Macaca fascicularis: one gene and its partner. The protein of the gene in region 1 purifies or fractionates together with the protein of each later gene. This does not show direct contact. Links are inferred from orthologs where the notes say so. Each region holds a gene or a part of one and is shown in the gene's direction. Other genes may lie near its edges. The genes, in order: CAPN1 and CAPNS1.

What was found.
Region 2: the proteins of CAPN1 (region 1) and CAPNS1 purify together in Homo sapiens (co-immunoprecipitation; 4 studies listed by BioGRID and IntAct, counting the BioPlex papers as one, with this or other methods). This does not show direct contact. The link is inferred for Macaca fascicularis from reciprocal best matches to the Homo sapiens genes CAPN1 and CAPNS1.

The regions. Positions count from the first base shown.
Region 1 is NC_088388.1:9,154,916-9,158,023, reverse strand, and holds the end of CAPN1 (calpain-1 catalytic subunit), read left to right. Parts: intron 1-6; coding exon 7-85; intron 86-713; coding exon 714-830; intron 831-1,171; coding exon 1,172-1,230; intron 1,231-1,617; coding exon 1,618-1,644; 3' UTR 1,645-2,356; downstream 2,357-3,108. UniProt on the Homo sapiens protein: Calcium-regulated non-lysosomal thiol-protease which catalyzes limited proteolysis of substrates involved in cytoskeletal remodeling and signal transduction. Proteolytically cleaves CTBP1 at 'Asn-375', 'Gly-387' and 'His-409'.
Region 2 is NC_088393.1:43,385,515-43,389,421, forward strand, and holds the start of CAPNS1 (calpain small subunit 1), read left to right. Parts: upstream 1-1,623; 5' UTR 1,624-1,715; intron 1,716-2,538; exon of another isoform or gene 2,539-2,541; 5' UTR 2,542-2,553; coding exon 2,554-2,756; intron 2,757-3,837; coding exon 3,838-3,871; intron 3,872-3,907. UniProt on the Homo sapiens protein: Regulatory subunit of the calcium-regulated non-lysosomal thiol-protease which catalyzes limited proteolysis of substrates involved in cytoskeletal remodeling and signal transduction. Essential for embryonic development.

The DNA.
Region 1 (3,108 bases):
CCCCAGTCCATCTTCCGGAAGTTTGACCTGGACAAGTCGGGCAGCATGAGTGCCTATGAGATGCGGATGGCCATCGAGTCGGCAGGTGAGACCCCAAGGCTGATGGCACCTGTGGGGCCTGGGACCGGTAGCCCCACTGCTCCTATGCCCCAGGCCCTTGTCCCCATGGTGCTGGTGGTGACGTGGTAACAGCCATCTTGTCCTTTTCCCCGCAGTTACTGAGCGAAGTGCGTTACTGGGTTCCCTTCCTTCCTTCCTCTCTGCAGCCTAACGAGGCTAGTGTCTTTTACCATCCCCACTGTGCACATGACAAAAGAGAAGCTCAGAGAAGGAAAGTGACTGACTTCAGGCCTCACAGCCAGCAGGGGCAGAGCCAGGCTGCAGAGCCTCCAGTGAGGGAGATGCAGGGCTCACTCACCCCAGCCCGCTTAAGCACAAGGCCAGGGCATTCAGCACAAACTAAGCTGGACCCCTGAGCCCTCACTGGCCCACTCCTGATTCCCTGGCATGACCTGGGCCCAGAGACCGGCACTCACTTGCCCAGCCCCTCATAGCTACTGGCTCTGCCCAGGAGGCCTTCATGCCCCTTCTGGAGAAGAAAAGGCGCCAAGCACCCTGCCTAGCTCCAGCCCCCTCCTAGGGACTCAACCCCTTCCCCATCCTGTTGGGCAGGGGCTGCGCCTCCCTGACCTTCACTCACTCTCCTGGACCAGGCTTCAAGCTCAACAAAAAGCTTTATGAGCTCATCATCACCCGCTACTCAGAGCCCGACCTGGCGGTCGACTTTGACAATTTCGTGTGCTGCCTGGTGCGGCTAGAGACCATGTTCCGTGAGTGTCCAGCTCTGTCCCAAACGCGTCACCAAGGAGCTGGGGGGAATGACAGATGGGTGAATTAGCAGATACAGGCCAGTGCTGTGGATGTGTGCCAGAGAGGCCTGGTTCTGGGTTTGGGGGGCCCTGGCTGAGTGCCAGGAGAGTTGGGGAGGGAGGGAGTTGATGGCAGCTTCTCAGGCAGCTGGAAGGGGTGAAGCTTCCCAGGTTCAAGGGGTGTCAGCTTGGGGTACTGTGGGGAGGTAGAGAGGGACCAGGCAGGAAGGGGGCTAGGCCTGGCCCTGCGTGAATGTCCCACTGAGTTTTCAGCCCTGTATCACCTTTTCTTGAACACACAGGATTTTTCAAGACTCTGGACACAGATCTGGATGGAGTTGTGACGTTTGACTTGTTTAAGGTGGGAACCTCCCCGGGCCCATGGTGGGGGAAGAGGTCCAGGCGATCGAGTTTTCTTATCTGGCCAGTGTTCCCTGTCCTTTCCTGGAAATGAGCCTGAGCCCCAGAGGCAACCCTGAAGTCCAGGCCCCCTGAGTCCTGAAAGGCTGGGGTGGGGGTGTCTGGATTCTGGGAAAGGAGCAGGAGGGGAGACCCAGGCCTTTGGAGGCCTCTATGGGAGCAGCACTCTGGTTTCCTGGGGGTGGAGGAGGTAAGAAAGTAGCCCCTTCATGAGGTCCCTGAGGTGGCTCCTGAGCCGTGGAGTTGGGGGCTGGACCTGGGGTTTGGGTGGGGAAGAAGCCAGGCGGCCATTTCTGCGGCCCCGGCTGACCTGCCTGCTCTCCCGCAGTGGTTGCAGCTGACCATGTTTGCATGAGGCAGGGACTCGGTCCCCCTTGCCGTGCTCCCCTCCCTCCTCGTCTGCCAAGCCATGCCTCCTGCCACACAACACCAGGCCACGCCAGCTGCAAGTGCCTTCCTTGGAGCAGAGAGGCAGCCTCGTCCTCCTGTCCCCTCTCCTCCCAGCCACCATCGTTCATCTGCTCTGGGCAGAGCTGTGTGGCCCCTGCCTGCGCCAGCTATGGGCTCGGGATGGACTCCCTGGGCCCCTTCCATTGCCAAGCCAGGAAGGCAGCTTTCGCTTGTTCCTGCCTCGGGACAGCCCCAGGTTTCCCCAGCATCCTGATGTGTCCCCTCTCCTTACTTCAGAGGCCACCCACTCAGCAGCACCGGCCGGGCCTTGCCTGCAGACTGTAAACTGTAACCACTAGCTCTACACGGTCTGCAGTCCAGGCATGTGGAGCCGCCTCCTAGCTCGGGGAGGCCCCGGGGCTGGGAACGCCTGTGCCTTCCTGTGCCAAAGCCAGTGCCCCCTCTGTCCCTCCCTGGCCCTGTTGCCGACCAGGAGCTGCCCAATCTGTGGGCGGTCGGCCTTCCCTCCTTCGCTCCTTTTTTATATTAGTGATTTTAAAGGGGACTCTTCAGGGACTTGTGTACTGGTTATGGGGGTGCCAGAGGCACTAAGCTTGGAGTGGGGAGGTCCCATGTTCCATATAGAGGAACCCCAAATAATAAAGGAAAAGGCCCCACATCTGTCTGTGACTTGTTTCTCCCCAGTCTACTGCCTGGAGGGCACCTGCAGGCCCCGGCCCATGGGGGCAGCTCGTGGCCTCAGCTCACCCCTCCCCTCCAACCCTTCCATCTCTTTCCCCTTGACCTGAAGCCTGAACCCCTACTGGAGTACTGGGTATCTGGGCCAGGCTACCCCTGGCCCTGGGAGGTTGGGAAGGAGGGGCCCCAGCTGCAGGGACAGGGCCACACAGCTGAGGTCCCACATGACTCTGCTGATCCTACATGCCCTCCCCGCCGCCCAGGAGGCCTGACCCCTACCTTTCTTGCACACTTCAGCCCATTGAGGTGAGGCTCTGGCTGAAACTCAAACCTCTACTTAGCACACACCCAGTCCCCCAGGGAGCTCCCCGGAGCGCGGAGCCGCCTTCAGGTCCTTCTGTGGGGAGCCCCTGTGACCCAGACACCTGCACTTATATAAGCCCCTCCAGGCCCTTCCGGGATCCGAGATTTTTCTTACCAGAGATAAGAGTGGCTTGGGGGAAGGAAGAGGGGATGGGGCGAAGCCGCAAATGCGGAGCAGAGGCCGAGTTGGGGGAGGGTGGGGGTGGGCTGCTGTCAGCTACTGTGGGCCCCAGTGTCGGGGCAGAGATGGCGGTGGAGGCTCCTGTGCGCCCCATGGGGCAGGCTGCCCGCACGCTGCTGTCTTGAGCTTGCATTTTGCCCTTGTCACCTCCTCACTGGGAGTCCAGGTCCTGTCAGGCTCAGGGTC
Region 2 (3,907 bases), on another chromosome or scaffold:
GCCTCCCTAGTAGCTGGGACTACAGGCGCCCGCCACCTCGCCCGGCTAGTTTTTTGAATTTTTTAGTACAGACGGGGTTTCACTGGGTTAGCCAGGATGATCTCAATCTCCTGACCTCGTGATCCACGAGTCTCGGCCTCCCAAAGTGCTGGGATTACAGGCTTGAGCCACCGTGCTCTGCCGATATCATTTAATTTTGATAGGGGGCCTAGTGGTATGGAGCAACCCATGATCACATTTTACAGATGAGAAAATTGCTGCTCAGGAATATCAAGTCACTGTTTTGGGGTTGTGCAGTTATTACAGGGCATAGCCAGGATTCAACTCAAGCCTAGCCAGCCTCCAGGGTAGGGACTAAGAGCCAACCAGCCTGCCTGGGGGCCATATTTAGCTGCCCCTGAGGAGTCCTGAAAAAGTACTGGACACCTGTGGCTCACGCCTGTAATCCCAGCACTTTGGCAGGCCGAGGCGGGTGGATCACCTAAGATCAGGAGTTTGAGACTAGCCTGGTCAACATGGCGAAACCCCGTCTCTACCAAAAATACAAAAATTAGCTGGGCGTGGTGGTGCACGCCTGTAATCCTAGCTACTCGGGAGGTTGAGGCAGGAGAATCGCTTGAACCTGGGAGGCGGAGACTGCAGTGAGCCAAGATGGCGCCATTGCACTCCAGCCTGGGCAACAGAGCAAGATGCTGTCTCAAAAAAAAAAAAAAAGAAAAGAAAGAAAAAAACCAGGCTATGTAAAAACAATATTGTTAAAAATTAAATTAAATCAAAAAAAGGCCGGTAGCCCATACCTGTATTCCCAGTACCTCCCAGTACTTTGGGAAGCTGAGGCAGGAGGATGGCTTGAGGGCAGAGATGGCTTGAGGCCCGGAGTTCAAGAGCAGCCTGAGCAACATGGCTAGACCTCCGTCTCTATTACGTAAAAACAACAATATTTTTTAAGTAAATAAAGAAACCCGGCCGCCGCCAAAGGAATCTTCCTGTGTCTGGGGCCTTCTTTAGACACTAGCATACTGAGGACACCCTTTGGGCCAGTCCAGGAAGGAATGATTCATGTGGCCCCTGACTGGGGCGGGACGTGGTAAGGTTCGCCTGGGAGGCGGCGCCTGCGCTGCCTGCGGTTTGACTGCCATCCGGGCTGCTGCAGGCACTGGGAAAGGCACTCCAGCCTCAGTCCTCGCCACAGACACGGGCGATTGTCCTCCTGCGTGTGAGCCAAAGCATACTACAGGCCTCCAGGAGGTGTTTGTCGCGACAACACCTGGAAAGGGCCCGTGCGGAGTCCCTTAGTGAGCGGACCGAAAACTGCCACCCTGGAAGGATATTGGCAGGCCCTAGGGGCTGTCACACTACGACACTGGGGGGGTGTGGGTCTCCTCCGAGTTCTCATCACCCGGCGCCTGCACCCAGACCTGAGGGGTGTCGGGAAGACCCCAGCCTACCGAGTCAGGGCGGGGTTAAGACCTCCGGCGCTGGAAACGTGTAGGGCGGGGCCCAAATCCGGGTCCCGCTAGCAGGGCGATGTGGGGTGCGCATGCGCAATGTCCGCTTCGGCTCTAGGACCGCGCGGGAGACAGCCGGGCCGCGGTGCAGTGTCAGACCCGAGAGTTGCGGCCTGAGTCACCGGCCCCGCCCTCAGGAGCCGGACGCTGCGGGAGGCCCGGGAGCGGCAGCGGAACGGACTCCCAGACCTTTGGACGCGTGAGGTGGTAAGCGCCCAGCCCGTACCCCCTCCGCACCCCGCAATTCCGGCTTTGGCGGCCCCCAGACCTGGCGAACCGTGAAGTCTCGGCCTCAGGAGCCCCCCAGATCCATGGTCTCAGATTCGAACCCTCAGACCTGTTCGACACCCTTTCATGCCGTCCCGGGGACGTCCCCTACTTCTCCACCCTCTGTCTCATGATCCAAAATACAGGCCCATAGGTTTCAGAGATACCCTGTGAATTCTTCCTTGGGGTGTCTTGAACCACGATCGTAGATCTGTGCCCCCAGTTCCAGCGAGGGACCCCATTATCCGGGAACCCAGGGCTCACAGCCACGATCTTAGACCCGAGCCCACAAAGCCAGAGGTGACACTGGAATCCTGCCGCTGGGAATACCTGAATTCTCAAGCCCACATTTAGGATTTCCTAAACCCCGCCCTGGGGCCCTTTAGGCGGTGGATGTTTGCTCCGCGCCCATGACCCGCCAAGGACCTTTACATTCAGTCTGGGCTCTGGATCTCACATTCTAGCGCCCAGACACGTCGGGCACGCCTTACGCCAACTTGGGGTCCCCACCAAGAGAACCCCCACCAGACCTACACCCTCCCGTTAACGCGTGCACCCAGTCCAGGCTCCCTCAAGCCCACGGGTGCCTTTTAGACCCGAGGAGGTTGCAAACCTTGCGAGGACAACCCGCCCTCGCAAACTCAGACCCCCATCCGGAGGCCTCAGATCCCTTCTCCCGTGTCCAGCTGCCGGAAATGCGTGTTTGAGGGGAGGGTGTGGGCTCAGGGGCGAAGCACCCACTGGTCCCCTTTTTTCCCCCCAGCAGTGAGTCGCAGCCATGTTCCTGGTTAACTCGTTCTTGAAGGGCGGCGGCGGCGGCGGCGGGGCAGGCGGGGGCCTGGGTGGGGGCCTGGGGAATGTGCTTGGAGGCCTGATCAGCGGGGCCGGGGGCGGCGGCGGCGGTGGTGGAGGCGGCGGCGGAGGCGGCGGTGGCGGTGGAACTGCCATGCGCATCCTAGGCGGAGTCATCAGCGCCATCAGGTAAGGCGGCGACTATCGGAGGGGCGGGGCCTGGAAGTGTGAATGGGAGGTGCCTCAGGGGGCGTGGTCCGGGAGGGGCGTGGTCTAACAATAATAGGATTAACCTGGAGGCTAACCTGGGTACCTGAATTAGGCCGGGGTGGCCTAGTTTGAGAGTCCTGTTATAAGGGGGTGGACCCCAATGAGGCGGATATCAGTCCTTGGGAGCGGGGCTTGATACGGGAGTAGTCTGATTGTGTGGGACCAGGACAATGTGGTCCTGAGGGGACCGATGTGGAGTTTTGGAGGGTGGGGCTTATGGGTCTGGGCCCGGCCTGCATTGGCTAACCTGGAGATGAACGTTAAAGGGGCGGAGCCAATGCGTCTGAGTGACATTTTACGGTCGGGGCTTGACTTATGAGTGTGGTCAGAGGTTTTAGGTGGGTTAATGAGGAGGTGAGCCCAGGAGAAAGCAAGACCTAATGGGATAGAGGAAATAGCCCAGAATGGGCTGGGCTTGCTGGGAACTGGCGGGATTAATGGAGAAAAATGCCCTGGTAGGGGTAGGGCAGGTTGGCCTAATTAGTCATGGCCACTGAGCAGTGATCCCTTGAAGGGACGGGGACCAATGGCTGGGGTAGGATGTTGGGAAGACAGGTGTTTAGGAAGGGGGCCATGGAGTAGAGTCTTGGGCAGATGGCACCTAAGGAGGATAAGACCTTGGGAAGCTGGGGCAGAGCCTCTATGAAGTGAGCCCTCCAAGGGGCGGGGGTTTTTGATTCTGTGTGGGATTTTTAGGTTGAGGGTGGCCGAGATGACTGGAATCTGCCACTGGGTAGGTGTGCCTGGCAGGAGTGGAGCCTCCCAGGGGACGGATCTCTGGGTCTCCTGAAGGGTGGGGTTGGCCTGAGGAAGGGAGAAGAGGGGCACGACCAGGGCCATGTGGATTGGGACAGATGAGGACAAGAACAGATGAAGGGCACAGCAACCAAGTAAGGAAGATAGCGGCTGACATCTGGAGCGTTGGGGCTGATGGTTCTGTAGTACTGCCCGTTGGAGGCCCCGCCCCCGACACTAACCCCTCCCCCTTATCTCTTCGCAGCGAGGCGGCTGCGCAATACAACCCGGAGCCCCCGGTAAGCCCACTCTGCAACCAGACCCCCTTCTCCTGC